3 linked regions of the Drosophila melanogaster genome follow. The protein of the gene in region 2 purifies or fractionates together with the protein of the main gene of each other region. This does not show direct contact. Each region holds a gene or a part of one and is shown on either strand. Other genes may lie near its edges. The genes, in order: U2af50, Hexo2 and Syp.

What was found.
Region 1: the proteins of Hexo2 (region 2) and U2af50 purify together in Drosophila melanogaster (affinity purification with western blotting, with the first as the bait; one study listed by BioGRID). This does not show direct contact.
Region 3: the proteins of Hexo2 (region 2) and Syp purify together in Drosophila melanogaster (affinity purification with western blotting, with the first as the bait; one study listed by BioGRID). This does not show direct contact.

What each region holds. Positions count from the first base shown.
Region 1 is NC_004354.4:16,353,812-16,360,751, reverse strand, and holds U2af50 (U2 small nuclear riboprotein auxiliary factor 50), read left to right. Parts: upstream 1-2,298; coding exon 2,299-2,344; intron 2,345-2,545; coding exon 2,546-3,109; intron 3,110-3,179; coding exon 3,180-3,268; intron 3,269-3,334; coding exon 3,335-3,457; intron 3,458-3,534; coding exon 3,535-3,996; 3' UTR 3,997-4,056; downstream 4,057-6,940. Other genes in the region: PIG-Q (phosphatidylinositol glycan anchor biosynthesis class Q), read right to left, coding at 56-132, 188-332, 394-529, 594-702, 766-1,412; sl (small wing), read right to left, coding at 5,966-6,940. UniProt on the Drosophila melanogaster protein: Necessary for the splicing of pre-mRNA. Binds to the polypyrimidine tract of introns early during spliceosome assembly.
Region 2 is NC_004354.4:8,706,139-8,714,619, reverse strand, and holds Hexo2 (hexosaminidase 2), read right to left. Parts: upstream 4,969-8,481; 5' UTR 4,812-4,968; coding exon 4,663-4,811; intron 4,046-4,662; coding exon 2,508-4,045; intron 2,438-2,507; coding exon 2,256-2,437; 3' UTR 2,142-2,255; downstream 1-2,141. Other genes in the region: CG2004 (uncharacterized protein), read left to right, coding at 552-1,021, 1,215-2,022.
Region 3 is NT_033777.3:20,787,014-20,795,034, reverse strand, and holds the start of Syp (syncrip), read right to left. Parts: upstream 5,050-8,021; 5' UTR 4,827-5,049; coding exon 4,703-4,826; intron 3,291-4,702; coding exon 3,172-3,290; intron 3,099-3,171; coding exon 2,786-3,098; intron 2,722-2,785; coding exon 2,480-2,721; intron 1,320-2,479; coding exon 1,184-1,319; intron 1-1,183.

The sequences.
Region 1 (6,940 bases), 7.6 Mb from region 2:
AAGAATTGGTAAAACTTAACATAGTGCTTAGATTGGCAAAAACCTTAAAACATACCTTTTAAAATGTTGTAACGATTGCCTCGAACCACTTGCCATAGAACAGAAAGACCTCTTCTTTCCACATTGTAGAGGCTATGAAAATAATATTATTGTTTGAAAGCGGTCAATATATATTGCAGAAACTTACACTTTGGTATAAATATAGAAGCAATGTGAATGTAAGCCAATAACGGATATTAAGTCCACTAGTAAGGCTATCTGGAATGTAAAACCCAAGCATCCAATCATTCCAATGGCCAAGAAAACTTGTCGTACTAAAGGTTCAATGAAATCTGTAGTAAGAGAACAATGTTATCAATCTTATCATGCATTTAAGTAGACCCAAAAGCTTACCCAAAAATGTTGACCACAGCTCAATATGATATTTGAAGCAGTCGAGAAAGAAATTATTTAAATGTATATTTAGCTTGAGGCCAATGGGACTGCCCTCTAATACTTTCAACAGGCCGTACAATTCGTCAATAACGTACTACAATAGATAAGCAATAAGTTAATGTCACATATGTAAAATCAAATTTGTATGGCGGACATACATGAGATATTTGTATTAGAAAATCACCAGGCTGTGTGGCAAGCGTAAATAGTATTAGCATCAATATAATCCCCAGTATTCTATCAAGAACTATATTAGCCGGTCGAGATCTGCTTGATAGAAACTAAGTAATAGTAATATGATATTTAGCATCATCGATTTAACCCAACTACCTTTTATCACATGCTGTCTGCCATTCCTTGAAATGCTTATAAATAGTTGTGTGAACCATAATGCTGTTGATAAATACATTTTCCGCCATATATTCGAATATCTTAATTGGAGAATCGGCAATGAGTGTTAAGCCATATTGGATACTCTTGTTGGCATTATTGTTTGCCTTGTTTTGGTTGTCAGCAGTTGGTTGATTCAGTCTAGAGAGCTCCAGAAAGTCGCAATCGGTGCTATCATTATCATTGTATTCCAAAGATCGCCTATTTTCAGATTCACCAGATACGAACAGATTTCGTACCATTTGCTTGTCGTAGAGAATCACTTTAATGTGCTTCAGATATTCGGGCGTAATGCCCAAATAAACCAGTGTTATATTCGCCTGACTGCTATTGTATGTGAAACACAATCGCATATTGAACTTAAGAAATTGGTTCTGGTCCGCATTGAAATCCTCGTTGAGAATAGAGCCCAGGAAACGCAGATTGCCCTTTTCATGATTTATGGCCTTGTCACTGAACTCCAAATCTGATGCTTCCAGCACGTAATACGATACGACATTATCTTCATTTATTTGCACTTGGCCGTACAAATTGGTTGACTTATTGAGGTAATAATAGTTGACCGGTAAATATATCTTAATGCTCATAATATAATCGATTAACTGACAAAAACACCGGTATTTCTTCTCTCAATCAAAACAAAACAAATACAGCATGCTTGAGAAGGTGGTATACAATTGAGTGTGACGTCACCGTTTGTTGATTAACAAACTAGGGAGTACAGAATAGTTGCAGAATCGTATATGTCAGATGTCGCTTAAGCGTGTATTTTTATGTATGTATGTATATTATTATTATTATATTATTATGTATGATTATGTATAATAATTTATATAAATATTTTGCAGTAATGGACACCCTACAAGTGAAATTTATGTCGATAAATCGTTCAACGACACTTCGAAACTGCCAGTGTCGCACTGTTAGCCCTCGGCTATCGGTGGTCCATTCCATTGTTTCTCAGTTTTCACGTGTTCTTTTTTAAGTCGTTTCTTTTATATTTGCGTTAATATACGCAATAGAGGGACACATTTTTCTTCGGCATTTTAAAGAGTTAAAATTGTTTTCGTGTTAAGAAATATTAATTTTATTTAGCAACAAGAATGGGATATGATGGTGAGTTCAATGAAGAGAGCAAGTAAAGGGCCGCACTGAATTTGATGCCCAAGTGTGCATAAATAGATGTTTATGTATATATATGTATGCATACATACATACAACTATAAATGTATGCAAAGAAAGTGAAAAATGTGCAACTGAATTTGTTTATCGCGGCAACGCAGCCTGCTCCTTGTTTCATTTTTTTTTATATGTAAAAAAGGTCTGTTGAATTAGGGTTTTGTTAATAATCGCATTCATTCTAGACCGGTTGTTTTTTTTTCTATTTCGATGTTTCGCTCATTCATACATTCATACATACGTACATACGTTGAGTTTTGAGTCTATTTTTAATAGAATACAGTGCATTTCGGGATGGAAATGAATTTTGAAGATAAATATGTGAATATCGACAATAAAGGCGAGTTCTTATGACCATAAATGCTTCTAACCATACACCATACACCGAAATGTGTCCTTGTTCATGGCTTACATATGCGCGTGTGCCCGTGTGTATGGCTAAATTTGTGTGCTCTTCCTGGGTGAGGTGGACAGGGACGGGACACATTTGCGAAAATAGCGATTGGAGAATCAACATATTTAATTCCTATCGTATTTGCAGACCGTGAACGCGATCGCGAGAGACGCCGACATCGTTCCCGCTCTCGGGACCGCCATCGCGAACGCTCCAGGGATCGACGCCATCACCGGAACTCGAGGCGCAAGCCGTCGCTTTATTGGGATGTACCGCCGCCGGGATTCGAGCACATCACCCCGATGCAATACAAAGCCATGCAGGCGTCCGGACAAATCCCGGCAAGCGTTGTGCCGGATACACCACAAACGGCAGTGCCCGTGGTCGGATCGACAATTACCCGACAGGCGCGTCGCCTGTACGTTGGCAACATTCCGTTTGGCGTCACCGAGGAGGAAATGATGGAGTTCTTCAACCAACAGATGCATTTAGTTGGGCTCGCCCAGGCGGCCGGCAGTCCCGTCTTGGCATGCCAAATTAACTTGGACAAAAACTTTGCTTTCCTCGAATTCCGATCGATTGATGAAACCACCCAGGCCATGGCATTCGATGGCATCAATTTGAAGGGGCAGAGCTTAAAGATTAGGCGTCCGCACGATTACCAGCCCATGCCGGGTATAACAGATACGCCGGCAATTAAGCCCGCTGTTGGTAAGTAAACAAATATCCTAATTTTCATTGGCACACGGTCTAATCAAATAACCACCATTCCACATTCCAGTTTCCAGTGGAGTTATTTCGACAGTGGTTCCGGACTCGCCTCACAAAATCTTCATCGGAGGTCTACCAAACTATCTGAATGACGATCAGGTTGGTTCAACATTGAAACGTTTCCATTCGAATTCTCATAAACATTTGTATCTTCTGCTGCTGTAGGTTAAGGAACTGCTTTTGTCGTTTGGCAAGCTACGAGCCTTCAACCTGGTTAAGGATGCCGCTACTGGGTTGAGTAAGGGTTATGCTTTCTGTGAATATGTCGATCTTAGCATCACAGATCAGGTACGAAACTACTTCAAAATTGCAAACAAACACAATCTTAACTCTAACTCTCTTTCGATTCCTAATAAAATTTGTAGTCGATTGCTGGCCTAAATGGAATGCAGCTGGGTGACAAAAAACTGATTGTCCAACGAGCCAGTGTGGGCGCCAAGAATGCCCAGAACGCGGCCAACACCACGCAGTCCGTAATGCTCCAAGTGCCGGGCCTGTCCAATGTGGTGACCTCTGGACCGCCGACTGAGGTTCTTTGCTTGCTCAACATGGTCACGCCCGATGAACTGCGGGACGAGGAGGAGTACGAGGACATCTTGGAGGACATCAAGGAGGAGTGCACGAAATACGGAGTCGTGCGGAGCGTGGAAATTCCACGTCCCATCGAGGGCGTCGAAGTTCCCGGTTGCGGCAAGGTCTTTGTCGAATTCAACTCGGTTCTCGACTGTCAGAAGGCGCAGCAAGCACTTACTGGACGTAAATTCAGCGACCGCGTTGTGGTCACATCATATTTCGATCCCGACAAATACCACAGACGCGAGTTTTAGATACAAGTAAATCATATATCTCACATTCACCATTTGTCCAATAAATATCAGAATAAAAGTAAAATTTTGACTACGAAAATACGAAGATACCATGAAATAGAAAGGGATAGTCGCTTATTTCATTGTGAGCCGGAAGTTGGAAACGAAAACTCCAAATGCTTCTAATGGGTTGAAACTGTACGTGAGTTTAAGGGTATATAACATAACTACTTCATTCGGTGGCTTCCTCAATTCTCAGAAATCCAACATATAGAAACAACTTTGTATATATATAGACAGCTAACGCCGGATAAACATTTATTTGGCATTAAATAATTATGAATGTATACGTATGGTGTGTGTTTACTGAATTATAAGGCAATTACAAAAACAGTTGAAAATATCTATTAGACGTACAGATACAAATCACTTAAAAACGGAACGTACAAATGAAATACATTTTGGGTACATATACACATACATATATACTAAGCATGATTTGCTAATGCGCTCAAACGCGCAAAATGTCCAAATTAGAACTATTGTGCGAATGGAAACAGCAGAATGTTTGTTAAATAATTAAATGCGAGTGCAAGACAAATGATATCGATCGTTTCAGTGGGGCATTCGTATGGAATGCAAATAGTTTCAGATTAAAATCCTAAATGATTCGCATAGGGAGCACAATTTCCACTTCTTAAATCGACTAGTGCATTTTATGAATATCTAGATATATAAATTATATAATGCATTTAGTAATAATACGTCTATTGAACTTAGGCTTTAGATATTTAGATTTCGCAGTTTAGAGAAGAAGCTAAGTTAGAACTTTGATTTTATAAAAAATAGATATCTTTGAGCTATATTATTATTTTTCAAATATTTGTTATTTTAGCAACAGGTGTACTTCAATAGTTAACGTTCAAACATTTAAAATTTCGATCATTTCGAATTTTAAGGCACGTTCATTTAAATGTAATTGAATAATTACATTTTATTTTAATATTGTTTGCAAACTTTTAGTTTTTGTAACATTAGCTACAACAATCGTGGTTAAATAACATAGACACAATTATGTGGTATATCGTAATTGTTAAACAACTGGAAGACATATGTAATCAAAGTGGTTTAAATTTCCTTTGCCCTTTTTTTTTTATAAATTGTATTATTACTTTAAGCTTTAAAAGAGAAAATAAAAAAGGTAAATGCTAAATGATTGAAATGCTGTTTGAGTATTTGTGCTAAGAGAAAGGTCTAAAATAGTTTTCCAGATAACATATGAAAGTGGTCTATTTTCTTCAGTTAAAAGTCTTTAAGAAGATTGTAATATAATACTTATGAAAAGCTGATCCTGAAACTGAATATCAAATGCCCATTAAATTGATGCCAATTGAGCTGTTTATGAATTGTTTCTATTTCTAATTTTGGAATCAACTTAATGTACTTAACTTTTGATGGTAAAACTGGTAAAATGGAAATAGCTCAAGTTCCCTAAATCGAAATCAAATCAAATCTGGTTTGCTTATGCTTATAATGAGGTGACGAATAGTTAAAACATATTCGTATCATTCTATTCTCCTGAATCAATCTCACGCACAAATACAACATTTAGAGGACAACAGACTTGAATGCTTAGTGTTATGGAAAAGTGTACAAATTATACGGATTACATAAACTTGATTTCAGTTCCAGGAGTTCAGAATTCATTGTTACCATTTGAATACTCATTGTATAGTATGAACTAACCATAACTGCTGATGTGTATAGAAAGTAATCTAAATCTAAATCATACGTTTCAGATCCTAAGCTTTTTAGACAAATTACAAGTGAGAGAATCAGGTTCATAGTTCGATGAAATGTTCTTATGTACAAGTTGTTGATAAATTGCTTTTGCGAATTAAGTTCGCTTTCCTTTTGATCTAGCGCAATTGTTTTCGCAAACACTCGATTTGGAATCATTGATATTGATCCAGCTAACTCAGCAATCCTCTTACGGTGCGGTAACATTTGCTATCTTAATGTTGATCAGCAGGGACGATAATTCCAGCTCCTCGCTGAACTTATTTCGTAGGATGACGCTGCGATAGCCCTGGCGAATGCAGGTCAGCGGATAGCACGCCTGGGCGATGAAGTGCGTCTCGGCGAACATATCCTCGTCCTGCACTTCGAAGCGAAGGATCGCAAACTGTGGATTACGCACGTTAAACTCGCACGATTCATTCCACACCGGATTGAAACCATTTTCATTGACTTTGGTGCGATACTTAACGCCCGTATCAAAGCTAGCGCCAATCAATTCGACCACGATCTGCGGATTGTTCGATTTGCCGCCCCGGAATAGATGACGTGCGGCTATCAGACGTATGCTAACTTTAACTTCGCTTAGGCCATCGCACAGCGGATTGTTCGGATTGAAGCTGTCAGATTTCATGAACGATGGCTTTAAGATATAGCCACATTGTCCATTATTCCGAAACTTGGCCTGATTCAGCTGCATGGCCTTATCGCCTGTCTGATAGTTCAGTGCGATCATCTGGGATCCAACATTCCAGAATGGCATGGGATTAAAATTCGACGAGTCCAGGCGCTGACCCTTCGGATACACTCGGCTAATCTGATTGCGATGGTAGGAGAGAAACAGTTGTGTGTTCTGCTGGAAGAACTGCTTTTCGGCCTTCGTTTCGGGGAAACTCGACATTTCCTGAAATATCCACGAGTGCTCGCGGAACGGCACGCTGCGGAAGTAGATAATCAGATCGGACATCTCCTTGGCCACCCGGGCAGTGCGCTCCTTTTTCCGCCTCTCCGATGCCAGCTGACTGGCGATAAGGGCTGCCTCCTGGATTGCCTTTATCCACTCGTACGCCGTCTCCTGATTGTCGAAGCCAATCACAAACGGATTCTGCATCGTTGGCGTTTGTATCTGCAGCTTGAAAATAATCCCCGGATCGTTGGACTCAAAGAG
Region 2 (8,481 bases):
GTGCATTGTAATTCATTTCGAATTTATAGCCACCCGCGATCCGAATCAAAATCAGTAGCACTTGCGACGAGCTGGCGGTCAAAAGGGCAAAACCATAAACGTCACCGAAAACTCACGCACGTGTGTAAAGTGTGAAAAACGCCGGTAAGTGAGAGCAGCGACGTCGACTGCGACGGAGGCGTAGACGCGGCTGACGTGTACCAAACAAAACGCGGTAAACAAACTTGTCCGCTTATTTTTATTTGTATTTGGATACTCTTGCAAAGGGTGTGATCACTTAGACATTCCGAACGATCTAATGTCTATATCCTATAGCTCTTAAGGCAGTATTAATTAATAATTAATTAAAAAGATAATCATATAAATGCGAGGGTATTCAAGCATCAGCAAGCAGCCTGCTCACGTTTTTTTTCCAATTGCTATTTTCTTTTTTTCTATTTTTGTTTTTCACCGATTACGCCGTGTTATCGCCGCGCTGAAATAGTTTAACTCGTTACAAATAGCAGATCGCGATCTCCGGCAGCGACAGACACACTTTGGACACCACCACGATGAGCACCTTTCCCAGCTTCGCGGACATTTCGGCCAAATTCTCGGAGGCGACGCTGGACGAGATCATCCGAAACGCGGGCGGCACCCGGCACACCTCGTACAAATTTGGCCCAAGTGGCAAGAAGGGCGACGCCTATCTGAGCCGTGTCTTCCGCATCACCATCTACGGCGTCAAGGAGGCGGAAGAGGGCCAGGATGAGAAGCAACTAGAGATCAGTGTGATCGTGAAGGCCATGCCCGACAATCTGCACCGTCGGCGACTCTTCCGTTCGGTGATATTCTTCCGCAACGAGATCAACTTCTACACCAAGGTGTTGCCGGCCATCGAGGCATTCCAGAAGTCCCGCCAGCCCGCGCCTAAGAAGCCCTTCGTGGAGTACCCCCGCTGCCTGGCCAGCCTGTGCGATGGCGTCAACGATTTCATCGCCCTGGAGGATGTGGGTCCCAGGGGCTACAGGGCACCTGTACGGTTAGTTTATTCCTCCTCCTCCTCCTCCACCCCTTTCGTATGAAATCAGCTTTCTATAAATAAGTGTAACTACACTATCTGTCGACTTCCCATACAATAGATTATTTCAATATCTACCATTAATACCATTAACCCTTATTGATTATAAATTATACAACTACATTTACTTCAATTACCTTACCTTACCTTGCAGTCAAGACTACATTTCGCTGGAAGATGCCCTGCTGACGATGCGGACCCTGGGTCGTTTCCATGGCGTGGCCCTGGCCTTCAATGCCCTGGATAGCAAGAACTTCGAGAAGGCTGCTGGTTCGCTGGAGGAGACCTACTATGGCGAACACACCCGCGAGTGGTACACGGGCTTCCTCCTGCTGGCGGAGAATGTGGCCACGGACGCCGTCAAGCAGATCTATCCGAATAGCAAATACGAGACTGTGGCCACAAACTTCCTGCAGCCGCCGCTGTTCGATGATCTGATCAATCTGGTGTCCACTCGCTCCAAGTTGAGTGTCTTCGGGCACGGCGATTGCTGGACGCCCAACTTTCTGACCAAGTACAACGAACGGGGACAATCGGAGGAGATCATCATCATTGATTTCCAGTTGGCCAGGTGCTCCTCCTTGGCCCTCGACCTGAGCTTCTTCATCTATTCCTGCACTAGCCAGGAGCTGAGGGAACAGCACTACGATGAGCTGCTCCGCGCCTACCTGGAGAGCGCCCAGGATTTGATTCAGGATCTCGGTGGCAATGCAGAGTCTATCATCTCCTGGGAATCACTGCAAGAGGAGCTAAAGAACTTTGGTCGCTTTGGTTGCGGCATGGGCATCGAATCGCTGCCGATGACGATGATGGAGGACGATGAGGTGGCCGATCTGGATGGAATCAAGGAGAACGCCATTCTCACCGACATCTGGAATATCACACCCTTCAAGGAGTCCGCCAAGCAGCAGCGACTGGCTGATATCTTCAAGCACGCCATCGATCAGGGCTACATTAAGTGAGCTCATTAATTTCTATGATAAAATCGAATTCATATAGTATTGGGTATTTCGTAATTGTAACCCATATAATGTACAAAACGTAACTCCAGATAATTAAAAGCATATTATAAACACATTTTGGATTGGATTAAAAACAGATCTTTATGGGCAATAACTGATGAATAAAATAACATAGTTTGAAAGGTATGTACATGGTATGTGCTGGTGCTAAAACTAGGTTCGGAACGACCGATTTAGAGGCACTGTCCTTCGTGGAGGACGCACCAGTGCGGAATAACTGCATCCGCATGGATTCCGCGCGCCAGGAGTCGCTCCCGGTAGCGGTAGAATCTTCTTTGGGCCAACAGGGCTGAAGACTTTGGATTTGACCACATTCGCTCGGCTGCTGCTCCAGCTCGCGGCCAGATTCGGGATTCTGTAGGGGATTGGATTGGGTTTAATTAAATGGGTTTGGTTCACCGTTTGGTTCCCTAGCGTTTACATACCCAGTGAGTTCTGATCCACATACTCGCTCCACATGCACACCTCACCGCCGAGAACCTGATCCTTGCTGCGACCAACGGGCATGCCACTGGAGTACACGGTGCGCCAGTTGTAGTACGATGTGCTGCCCCAGAAGCCGTGATCCAGGTACCAGGCATTCTTCGTGGACACAATCAGTCGGTAGCCTCGCTGCAATAGCTCCCGATTGAGGGCATCCTGTGACTCCACCCATGTCTGGATTATGAACCGCTCCTTGGGCAGGTAGGTCTCGATGTACCGGGGATTGGTGAGGTGACTGGACCAGATGATCACCGACTTCGGCTCCTTGATGCCCGGATACATACGCTCGTTAATCTCGTCCCATGCATTGAGGTTCCGCTGATGGAATTGCGACCACAGCCGCAGGAAGCTCTGCTCGCTGAGATCGTAGCCACGTGCCCGCATCCCATCCCGAATCTCGTCGGTGTTATTCCAGCAGGGAAGGAACACCTCGTCGCCGCCCATGTGCAGGGTCTCCTCGGGAGCGCCCACCTCGGCTACGTCCTCGAAGATCTCCTTGAGCACTGCGTACATATGATCGTTCAGGGGATTCAGTTGGCCGCACGGTGGCTGTACACAGAATCTCCTCCAGGGCGATTGATTCAGGCACACGGACATGTTGCCCAGTCCGGCGGCAGGACCCCATTGCCAGCCATTGCCCGCATGCGAGGGTCCATCGATCTCGATCAGTATCCGTATGCCCCGCAGTCGGGCATATTTCACAAGATTCAGTGCATCCTGGCGCGAGTACGTCTGCGATGAGGAGTACGCTCCGTAACGCTGCATCTCCGGCACCCTGGTGATCTCCAGCGGAAAACTGTGCGTGTCCACCACATGCCAGTGGAGCACATTCAGCTTACTGGCCGCCATCGCATCCAAGGTGCTGCGTATAAACTTGAGCGGCACAAAGTTACGGGCCGTATCCAGAAGGACGCCGCGATGCGAAAAGGCCGGACGATCGGTGATGTTGGCCGTGGTGACCATCAGCAGGCCATTGGACAGGCTGCCGGTGACCAGGTTGCTCAGCGTCTCGAAGGCATGACGTGCACCGTACACCGTCGTCGCTTGGATGTCCACAAAGGTGGCCGTTTCAGTGGTTCGCACCACCAGGGCGTAGCTCTCGTCGGTGGGCCAGTCCAGAACGAGGCTCTCGTTGGCCACCGTGGATCTGACCAGAATCTGCTTGCTGGTCTCCAGCGTGCAGTTTCGTATGCACTCCTTCAGCAGATTCGAGACGAACAGCCGGTTCGTCTCCCTGAGAAACTGGGTGGCCGCCTCGCCGGGCGCCACAACATGGAAACGCACCTTCCACGGATCGAATCGTACCCGCCTGTGCGATATGGTGCACTCCTTGCCGGTGGGCATGGGCCAGATGGCTCCGTACTTGCCGCACGACAGTCGGCAATCCCGCTGGCTCTCGAAGATCTCCGGCGCGTACTGCAGTCCGGCCACCATCTCGCCCTCCGCGGTGCAGATATCCGTCCGGCTGCACAGCCATTTCCTGGAAATTCGGAAGATATTGCTATAATAAAGCTAAGTACATATATATTTAGATACATAAAGCAGATTTCACTTTATTTATTGCAAATTCTTTTCAATAATATATGCAGCTGCATAGAAAGTAGTTCTTATTCTGTCGCTTTGCCTTTTGCACTTGTTCCCTTTACGAAAATTGCACTTGGAGCGAATGCAAATTAACATGTAAATGCATTTGGCACAGTTAAATTTTCACCTGTTTTCTTCTGTTTGTTTTATTTTCTAGTTTTTAAGACTGATTTCACTTGTTGCTCTCAGTTATTTGAGGAGATATTGGATATCCTGCTGAGCATAGACACCAACCATTTGTTATCCGTTGGCAGTTTTTTAAAGTTCTCTTTTGTAGAATGAATAGATTTCCTTTAATATATTTAAAAGTAGTGGACTTTTTGGACTTTTTTTCACTAGTCTGCTGAGCGCATATAACACTTGAAATTTCATTGAAAATAAAGAACAGTCAGTTTTTTGTATTTTCACTGCATTTTGTTAGCAAAAATTGTTATACTTCCAAAACAAAACATGTATTTAAAAAAAAACTTGCACTTGTTGCACTGATTTCCTTTATGAAGCAAAGACACAAACCTGCTGGCGCTGCCGGCGTCGGCGTCGCTGCCGACGTCATCTGCCCGCGTCAGCGCAGCGCCGACCGCGAAGGATAATAGGGATAATAGCAGCAGCGATCCAACAGCAGAGCAAAAGCACTGATAACGATTGTAGCCGCTGAACCGCATCGTTTCTTTCTAACGGCTTCTTTGGCTGCGCCGCTCGCTTTTATAATTTCTGTTCGGTATTTGCTATATTTGTTGTGTTAGGGGGGTGTGTACGGTGTATTCGCTATTTTCAACCGGCCGCCCACCCGCTCCGCTCGCCGAGCACAACAACACTGAAGAGCTGAAATCGAAAAAGCGAATAAAATAAATCCAGCGAAATTTCACTTGCAGCGCAGTAGCGGCCGCAACAACAGCAATAACAAGTCGAGCTTATCGTCAATTGAATTGAAGAGAGTGCAAGAGCGCGAGAGAGCGCGGATTGAAATTACACTGCGAGAAACGCCAAGTCCTTGCATTACACTGCTACTCCACATTAATGCTTGGCAATTAGATTTTACAGCTTTATTAAATGAGCTTCCCTATACTAACAGGACACTTGATGCATGAAGTGCCACGTCTTTTCTGCCTGTGTAGTGCTGTGAAATCAGCATATCTCCCACTCTTTGAAGCAAACCCCACCCCCTGGAGAGTGGCCCACATACGGAAGTTGTGGGGTGAGTGATAAAATGGAAAATATATACATACATATGTATGCATGTATGTATGTATATGCGGTGCAAGAACCGCAGCAACAACAATAATCGTGGGCTTGAAAACTGCCAGCGTGCAAAACACCAAAAAGAATTTAACTAAATCAACCTAATTCTTCACAAATTTCGGCACAAATGCAGTTAAGAAAGCCAGCATATTAATTAAACATAAGTACATACACACATGTGTAGTATGTAGATACATGTAGTATATGCCAATTGAACTTGCAACATTTAAGATTCCAATAATACATCTCGAAAATATTATTCAAATGAGTTTCCACCCTCGAGGTAAACAAAGCAGCAGTTAATTATAAACAAGATAGAACGGTGTATCAATTTTCAGTTAACACAAATAATCAAAAAATTATTGTTTATAGTAGATAGATAAACAACTCAGCAATGGGGAATGGAACCACCGTCTTATCCCTCCAAAGATACACAACTATATTTGTGCTTTTTTAGTATTTATCATTTGTTTCTGCGTCGATTTTTCGTTGAGTTTTCGCATTTGATTCGTCTTGTATTATCATGTTGTTGCACGTACAGTTGAGGCCGTGACTGTAAGGCAAAATAAAAGATGTATTCCCTTAGTTGAAATGGGTAATGTTGGGTAATAAATTTGAATGCATTCATATAAAAACTCTGCATGCACATTACTTTAAATCCATTTAATTGGCTTAATAAGTTAATTAAATCAGTGACAAATTGATTTGTGTACCACTCAGCCAAACTGATTTCATAGCAATATGAGTAAGAACATTTATTTTACTTCAAATTAACAACGAAGTGAACATATTGCTAAAGCAACTAACTAACTAATCACTTTCTTAATAAATTTATTTACAAAACATCTACTTGTTTTAATCTGGAACATAATTTTAGTCGCGAAACGCGCTGTTGTTCCACCCTCATTATGATTTCGATAAAAGCTTTGAAGTTGAAAACAAATGAAAAAAAAAAAAAATGGTGAAATAAAAAACATTATTTGTGTGTGCGACTGGGCATTGTTGATTATTATTTTATTGTATTCGGCATTCGCACATCTAGTTCTTGTATGCGCCCATGCATCTCTCTCTCTCTCTCTCTCTCTTTTATTAATAATATGTATTATTATGTGGTCGCTGGCTTGGATTCCAATTCCAATTCCATTTCCATTTTAATTCCATGGGCGCCTTTTGTGCGCCTTCGAAATGAATTTTGAATTATGCGATAGCGCCGCCTTCGCTCTTTATTCTTTTGCCCATTGTTGTTGCCCGTGAGCATGTGTGCGTTTCTGTGTTTAGAATGTAAAATTATAATAATTAAAAAGAGTACGTGCGAGTGCTGTAATCGGGCGGTTGAGATGATGGATGCGGGGATGTTGGCTGAAGCGATAGTTGCACATTACGATTCCCCTCACTCACCATTCAACACGATCTCGAAACTCACCACGACTTTTCTCGAAATAATCCGTGCACTATCTTTTTCGTGCTTCATTGAAGCCACAAAACTATTGAATACGCACATACATATTTCAAAACTAACAAGGTTTTGAATACTCACCACTTTTAAAGGTAGCTGGTAAGTTAGCTTTCCAACATATTTATATAACAATAACAATAGTAAACGCATTTTGATTATATTTAAGTGAACAAGATATATACCTCATATGTGCACTTCTCACGCGCTCATCCCCAGGATTTCACACATGTGGGCGGACCAAATGAGTTTTGCCCAACTCGGACATCAGGTCCTGAATGGAAATCAGCAGGCGGAGGATGAGGAGGAGTTGGGGCAGGCTGCGGGGATTGGATGTAGACATGGTTATGGATATGGGAAGGCGGTAGACTCTATGATGATGAGGAGCTGCAGCTGTTCCTGTCGCTCCAGGACAATGCAGATGCACAGATGCGTCTGCACTGGGAAAAATAAGGTCAAAAGAATTACTGAAGCTTTCTAAACCGAATGGCTAGCTATCCGATTAATAACAATATTATAAATTTTAAGTCTTAACTTAAGTTAAGTGCTCAAGGTGAAATGAAAAGTAAACATATTGGGCTTTTATTTCGAGTGCATTCAAATGGATGGGGGGGGGGAGGGGGTTGGGGGTTCATCGCCACTGATTATGATGTTGATTACATTGCGGCCTCTTCCTCCCCTCACCTGGGCCACGCCCCTTTTGCACAGAGAGAAAATATTGTTAGTTCATTTCATGGATATAAATTATTTGCATTTAACTTTATAATAGCAACTCAACAAAACCAAACAAGAACCTGATGATTTTAGAAATATGATGATTATGATTATGATCTTAAAAAAATGATATGAACTTTGTTTTCTCTGCACGACTTTGGACAGGATGCAAGTGCCGAGTCCGTCAGCCGCTAGGTTCTTCATTCCGTTTGCGTCAGTCAGCGCTGACTGCCACACACCCCCCCCCCCTTGTGTGCCACGCCCCCCTCATAGGCCACGCCCCTGGATGCTGCTGCTTAGAACAATGCAAGATTAAAAAACTGTAACAAATTACAAGCAAAACGGCAAATAAATTACACAAAAAACCAAGAGCTGGAAATGAAAAAAAAAAGAAAACAAAATAAGAAATAAAATAAAATGAAAGGAAAAAAAAGTAAATCAGCAGAGGAAATGCAAAACAAAAAGCAAGCGCAAAAAGTTGCAGCTACCGAAGAGGGGTTTGGGCAAAAGGGGCGTGGCTGAGGTCAGCGGCCCTGGGGGTTGTCATATGATTCCCAAAATGGGGGTGGGCCGGAAAATTGGGCGTTGGGCATGTGTGGAAATGCAAAGTTATAGGAAAAGTTAATTTGGGTTTTGTGTCTGCGGGGGGCTATTGCAAAAATGGCTTTGTCCTTTGGCCGATTAAATCAGAGTTTGTTGCAAGGAATGCACTTGGATTCTCGAAATATTTATTGTTTTTTAAAAATATTGTTATTTCATTCGTGAGTAATATATTTAGGGACTATTAAAAATGTAAGCTAAGAGTATAGTAAACTAAATAAATTAATAAATTCAGTAAATTATATATAAATTATATATATTTTTACCTATGGGACTCTTGAAAGCGTAATAAGCAGGTATCTAATAGTCGAGGTTTTCGTATACAG
Region 3 (8,021 bases), on a different chromosome or scaffold from region 2:
TCGGGCTTGTGGTTTCAAAGGTGGAAGAATGAGTGTTCGTGTTTGATAGTAATTCTCATGGGTGGGGGGGTATAAAGTGTTGAATTCTATTATCTAAACTTTATTAACTTATTTTTCGGTATATTTTGTAATGCGTGCCAAATAAAAATGAATTTACTCAAAAATAACGTTGTTCTTTAGCTAAATTCCAGTTGATTCGATGTGGATTTATCGGTTGTCACTACCAGTACTAGTACTTACTATGCGAAATAATTACTTCGAAATTAACAAAAAGGGCAACTCTTTGGGCTCAGTGCAGCTAGAAAGTGAAATGCGACTCGATCTTACCTTAGAAATTTCATGGGAATATCGACTTTCTAGCTGGCACACGGCGTATACTTAATATTTATAGTTTTAAGAGCCTGCTTTCCTACGGTGTGATTATTATTACAAAACATAATGGAAATAAAATTTTTGGAATGCATAACAATTTGGTAAAAAATTTAAAAATTTGAATATCTTTTTTTTTGGTTTGTTCTTTTTCGTAGGCAAGATTAATGACTGGAGATATTATGTAAATAAGTTAAAAAGAAATATTCTTATACGACAATTCAAGCTTGTAACGAATGGCAATGAGTCAAATGGGCGTGTCGCTGTATCTATGTGGGCATGTAATAGTATCGGTGTCGTTGTGTGAGGGTGCTTATATGTATGTATATGAGGCAACATATATGTGTGATTAAACTGAGAAAAACCATCCGACGATGTTCGTGGTTCGGTTTCTATCATGGGGGCGGTAGCGCATTTGAAAAGAGTGTCTCAATTTTTGATTCGGGGGAGAGCACTTTTCAATTCTTAATTTTCGGTTTTCAGTTTTTCATTTTGAAGTGTCGAGATGGCAATGGCGGATGTTTGGATGGTTGAGGTGGGGGTGAATAGTTGGAATGAGTTCAAAACAAAGACATATAAATTAAGCGGAACGGAATATAAAAAAAAAAGAAAACCCTACGACCCTTTCTACCTAACCTAGCCTAGTAAACAAACTATTGTAGTATTTTTCCCTGCAATTAGCCAATGTTGTTTGTTGGTATAGCCAATTGGATTTTTGTTTACAATTTAGTGCCGATTGCGGAGTGGCGGATAGCAGCTCCAGTGTTGGTAATTTAAAATACAGTTTTGGTTAATTTTGTGTTTGTCAATTTACCTGTAAGTTTACCAAATTCCTCTAAAATTTCATCTTTGCCCTTTGACTTGGGAATATTGCCTACGAAAAGGCGCAGATTCGGTACGCTTATATTTATTTTTAGACACTTGCCGGGTTTTATTTCGTGATTATCGAGCTAAATTGTGGGAGGGAAGGTAAAACGATTCGTTTTAATACCAATTCAATGTTAATAATAAATAAATAAATAATAAAATCATAACAAGTAAATAATTTTGAACTAAGGCAAATAAGGTAGATAAGAACAGGGGAATGGGTTAAATAATAATATACGGATTTGTAAATCTTATCGTTTTCGTTACCAATTTTGAAGCGGGCCGCGTGGTCTGAATTTCGGTTGAGTGTCGTTTTGGAAATGTTAAAGGAAAAACATTTTGTTAGTGGTTAACTGGTTAGGGCAGGTGATATATGGAGGCAACGTGTCTTGCCTCCCAATATCATGGTCTAGATTTTTGGTCATGCTCGTCTAAATAAAACCAGACAGTGAGATTTTTGAACGTACGCTGCTAAGTTGTCTACAAAAGTTGATAGCTACATAGCTGAGCTTAAGACAAGAGAAAATTCAACTAAAAAGGAAGTAGAACAGATATAGAGACGATAGAGAGAGAGAGGAGGGTAGGGGGTTGTGTGATTTATCAGGGAGGAGGCCAAATCTTTTATTCGAAGAGGAGAGAACTCTTTTCAAACTTGCAATTTGAACGATTTTAGGGCGCTGTAGAGATTCGTTTGCGTAAATCAAGATTACAACTCATAGGAGACGGGACATGCATTACATAAGTTACAGAAAGATCAAGTAGAGAGAGACAGCGAGAGAGTGAGACAGATAGCGTTGCCCATAGTTCGAATTCTTAATAGCAAAGGCAGAGAGGTAAAGTAAGCATACGTTAAAAACTAAATGGAATTGCAGAATTTCTCATGGTCGGATCTAAAAGCGCCAAATCGGTTGTGATCAAATCGGTAATTTTTCGCTCTTGCTGTGGAGAATTTCAAATATTTGAATTTTGCTTTGGCCGCATAACTGTTCCTACTTCATCCGATGTGTTATAACACGATAGTAAATATGTGGATACAATACGTTAAATATGTATATATATAGGATATTTGTATAGGTCTTAAGAGTTAGCAATACGTAAAAACATTGAAGCGGGGATCAAACTGATTTGGTGGTCAGGGTCGGATGGGGTGGGGTTTTCATTGGGGAGACTGGGTTTTCAGGTGGGCTGGGCTGGGCTGGACTGGTGGTTGGTGGTATGGATGATCTGTGGTTGGCTTAAATACCTGTCGCACTGCATTGACGGCCGCTTCGCGATTTGTGAATGTGACAAATGCATAACCACGATTTGTGCCCGTCATCGGGTCCATCATGAGTCGTAGGTCCCAGATTATGCCGCAGTTCTCGAATAGCGGAATCAGTTCGTCCTCGTACATGTCCTTGGGTATCTTGCCGCAGAAAACCTCGCAACCGTTGCCTGGCACATTTCCCTCCCAATGCGGCGGCGGTCCGCCGTATTTACGCTGACCTGAGTACGGTATAAGTAATAGTATTAGATAAAAGTTTCTCCAGTACTTGAAAATGTTTCTCACCTGTCGTCACATCTAATGTGTAGCCGGTGCGCTCGAGGATTTTCTTGATCTTGTCCTCGTCGGGACCTTTGACAGTTGCGGGCGCGGCCACGCCCTGTTGGCTGGCTCGACTCTTCTGTCGGTACGTCTTCATCACGCCGCATAGGTAGGCGGACTTGTTTGACACGTGCTCCAGGTTCGATTCCAGGAACTGTCCCAACACATTCAAGGCACCATCGACGGGAAACTCCTTGAGCGCGTCCAGGGCGCGCTCGTCCAGCTCGGCGTGAGCCAACTTGCCGGTTTTGTAGATCTCATCCAGTTTGCCGGCGACCTAGGAGCATATGTTGCATGTGGCAAATGTTGGTAATAGTTGGCATGTGGTGTTGGGTTCTCAAAGCACTCACCTTCTTGTCCAGACCGTATTCCAGCAGCTTGGGATAATCCTCTGTACGCTCGCCATCGCCACGGTCATCGGCTTTCTGGTTAATGTCATCCAACAGTTCGCCATTACCTTCCGCCATTTCTGCAAGTGCAACGATAATAAAATGTTATAAATATATATTGAGTATTTATACATAAATATTAATATTCTTGAAACATACATTCAAGTGAGCACCCACAAATTGTGCGACCTATAAAATCACCTTGTAGAGTTCAACGAACGCAAAATAGCCACAAACGGCGAGCGCTTGGTAAAAAATGGGTCGCGAGAATGTGCGAAATACGAGAAATACGAAAAATTGGCAACTTACGCACCGTCGCACGCACTCGCGGAATGAGATAAACGGGGAGTGCGATAAAGCAGGGAGCATGGGAGAGAGAGGAGACAACAAAGCGAGCAACAAAGTTCATTGACTCCAAACAAATGCGAAACGCACAAATTTGCGATCCAGAAGAGCGCGCATCCGAGCACCGAAAAGTGCGTGAGAAAGGCAAGAGAAGGAGAAAGGCAAACGAGAAGAGAAAGAGGGAGCCGCATGAAAACGTATTGGCCAAAATGTAAACAAACGAAAAGAGGCGCGATTTGCGAATTGTGCGTGACGTGTTGCGTATACGCGATGTGTTCGGCCACGCTCACAAGAGCGTGACGTATTAGTTGCCCTGGTAACAGCTGATGAATCTAGTGGGTTCACTTTTTGCCGTGTTTGAAGCTACTGGACTTTAGACTTGGATTAGTATTAGTAGTTTTATTGACTAAAAGTAGTAGTATACGTGATTTGCTATGTTAAATCAGCCTAATACATTTATTTATGATCTGTTCCGTGGCTAAATTCAGTTGAGCTGCGGAAACAAGAGCTGTTCGCTTTCGTTGCAATTGCAGCCGCAGCTGCACACAGGCATTTATCATAAATGAATATTTATGGCACACTCATAATGAAAATGCAAATGTTCCACAGTTGTCAAGTGGCAAACGCTCACCTATACAGGCCGCAGCATAGAAAGCTACCTTAGCAGCCACACTATCAGCAAATGCTATTTTGATTCGCGTGTACACGTATATTCGTATGTATATTATATATATGTACGATGTGTATGTACATACATACATATAGAAAGTTGTGTGTGTTTGACGTTCAAACAAAAACGAAGCAAGCTGCAAAAATAAAAACGAGGGACCCCAACTAGCCGAGAGCGATAATTGCGTAACATGTGCAAAAAAAAAAAAACAAAAACAAAAAAAAACAGCAGCAATATCAGCTAGCTCTATCGTTCAAGAATGGGAGAGCCAAACCAGCGATAGAGCGCGACCCACAAAAATTATGGGCAAACCCGAACATTTCTAAAATCTTTTCTGTTTGTTGCTGCTCTCTCCACTGGCATTCTGCGAATTTCGCATTAATTCTCCGGCATTCGATTCGTTTTCGCTGACATTGAAATACTTTGCGATTGATATCGGGGGCAATTGGGTGTTTTGCAGCGGCGTGGAATACTCACTGCTGCAACTGGGAATTGGGCTGGGGGTCCTGAATGAAGACGGTGTTTTGAGGATCGTGCGGCTCAGAGCCTCGCCGCCCCCTTCATCCTTCTGCACTTTGGAGGCTTCCATCTGGGAAAGCATCGCGTAATGCAACAATTTAACAATTTTCAATTTCCTTAGGCGACTTGGAATTTCGATTGCAAATGTGAATGAATTTGTTTTCGCTTTTTCTTATTTTTGAAGTAAAAATCAATAGTTCCGAAACGATTCGAGAGACGAGAAAAATTTTCACAACTGAATAGAAACAAAAAACATTACGGAATAACTTTTGACAATCGCCCAGCAGGGCCAACTACGCATCGATATTTAGAAAGGGTTACCGAACCGAACCCACTTTGTTGAGGTGGCAATCCTGAAAATGGTGTGGTGCAAGTATTAAGACCACAAATTTATGACAACTGCAGTGGGGCCATCAGAATGCCATGTGCGCTATGACAACTATAACAATAAGCGGAACCAGTCAACCAGTAACAACAAAAACATATCCCATTATCTAGGCCCCTCCAACACATAAATACTATGTATTTATATGCATGTATGTATATCTAGATTGTTGGGCGCGAAAACGCAGCGAGCTGTAAGTGAAAAGTGTTGGCGACAACCGCAGGGAAGCCCACAAAAGGGCAAACACCGGGGGAGCGTCATGAAGTTGCGCTGGCGATGCGAGAAAGGCGGGAAAATCAGGAAAAGCGCTTTATCGGCGCACAGCGAGTAAATGAATAATAAACACATGGGCAATGGATATTGAGCCAGTCGAAAGGAGTAGACAACAATGCAGGAAATTCCATTAGGATTGCAGTGAAATATCGATAAAATGGTATTCCTTATACGCTGAGTTGCCATGCTAATGCTTCTATGGCATATGGAAGTGCATACTGAACAAAAAAAAAAACAGGATGACTGGCCACATACCACAGCCAATTTAAGTCTTTATTCTTGGGTCTCCCGAACTCAAAGCTATTCAGGTGACGGCTCCTGGCCTAAAACCGCTTTCAATTTGCAACACTTGCCGGACTGTGTGTGTGCTTTTTTTTTCCAGCCCGAGTCATCATTTTTTATGCATGTTTGTTATGGCAACAGGGTAGTCGCCGCTTGTTTGCCCCAGCGGTGGCAACTCTGTCCCATGCATATACTCGTACAGAAAAAATAGAAGCACGGCTAAAATGGGGGAAAAACAAAGAAACGTTTGCATGTTAAAGAACATTCCTTTTTGCATGCTCGTTTTGTTTGCCAGAGCCGCTTGGCAACTACCTCAATAAATTTGATGTTGATGCCGGCGATATGCGCAAACATACACAGCCAGCCATACATACACACATGCATATCCTGGCATATCCTGCCTTCTTGCACTTGTGTCGGTTAGTTACACCCTCGGTTGTATAAAAAAAAAAAAAAAAAAAACAGAAAAAGTCACCCTCTAGCTGCTAGCAGGGGTGATTCGCCCCGGATTCCACCTCTCCCCCGCCATTCCGGACTCGGATTCGGATTCGGCCTCCTTTGCCAAGAGATAATGCCTGGTGTAAGGTTAGTAAATCAGCGATATGACAAATCGCCGCAAACGCAGGCGGAGCACTTAATGCGGCGCTTTTTCAATGGGAGACAAAGGAGAATCAAAAATTGCTGATAAAGCCAAATAAATCGTTTTGCCACATTTGTTCGTCACTCGCGTCCGTCTGCCAGACAATACGTCGCCGCCGGCAGCAGTCTGGTCTAGAATTACAAGATCTCCCCAATGGCAAATTGGCAACTCCGCCCCTGTTTCTGTCAACCGAAGCCAGACTGACTGTAGACTGCAGAAACTATGAGTATCTTTAGGATGGTGGCGGCTGGCTATAGTCCAGGGGTTGCTCGCCGTGGCATTGAGGAAGTGTTAAAGTTTGTGCTTTCGCAATTTGAATTTCAAGAAGCCCTAGCCATTTAAATGTTATTGCCATGGACAACGGCGACAACAATGGGGCTCTCTATAGCACAACCTTGCTGGGGGTTATTGATTTTCAGAACCCTTCGGGCCCAGCTGAGCCGCAACTACAACTCCGCCGGCCAGGCCAGTTAAGCCGATTTAAGGCACAAAAATAACTCCAGACTAGCCGAAGTGAAAAGTGCAGACAGTGCAGCAGACCTGAATGAAGGCCCCCAAACGGAAGTGTGGCAAATGCCTTCTTGTAATTTATAGCCCCACAAGGGGGTTGATGGGATGGGGTATTAGAGAAGGCGGCCAGTTGGCCGCATAAGTTGCACAATTTATGGCATTGCGACAACGAACAAATTCCCTGCAAAGTGCAGGCGAACCAAGCAAATTAGATGGAAGCGCCTTGCAGGCGGCAGACAACGGTGAAGATTGCAGGGAAGAAAGGATGGCTATCCGGCCTTAGGTGAATATTAAATGAATGAAAATTGTTGTAATTTATGGGGGGTTACAGAAGAAGTTTAATGAAATATTTGAAGGACCTTCATTTAAAGTGCAATCCGAAGGATTTGCTGCCTACTTTTCGGCACTGGTGTAAACAGGGATGTCGGCCTGCTTTTAGGCGCTGGGAAAAGAGATTTCTACTTTTAATTACAGATTTCCAACTATTTTCAATCATATCTATTTAAATGCATTGGCGAAAACATTCAAATTTAATACAAAAGGAATATCGTAAATTTTCTTCAAAGAAATTCCTATCATACCCTTACGTTAAGATGTGTGTTACGTAGGAGGTTGTCTCTATTTAAGGTTATTCCCCTGCTTTTATTTACCTCCATCAGATAATTTTTGTTTTTCTATATCTTATCAACATTTAAACAAATTCATCCCAAGCTCTTTAATATAGTCACGTGGCCGGGCTGCAGCGAACACCATATTCTTTAGGACCCGATGCCAAAATCAAAGATAACATGGCAATAAGTTGCAAGTCGGGTTTATTTCAGTAAACAGAAACAAGTTCGTGGCAGTTCAGTGGGGTTTTGTTGCCAAGAAACCAATCAGGCGGGTTGGTCGTTGCAATATCTGCCAAAAAAGCTCTTTTTGGCCACGTCACTGGGGTCCCACAGCCACGGTCATAAACTGTGCAGCCCCGGGGCCGGAGAAGTGTTTTCAATATTTGATGCTCACATTTTGTGGCCGCAAAAGTGCAGGGAAGCTGCCCGGCCGCATCAACAAATGAAAATGGCGCCCAACATCCCGTGACCCCAGAAAGTCATCCCATTCGAGGAGGTCAGTCACGTGTTGGCCAGGCCAAAACTTTGGGGTCCTGCCGAATTCACTGCATTGCGGCAGCGACAACAACGGACAGA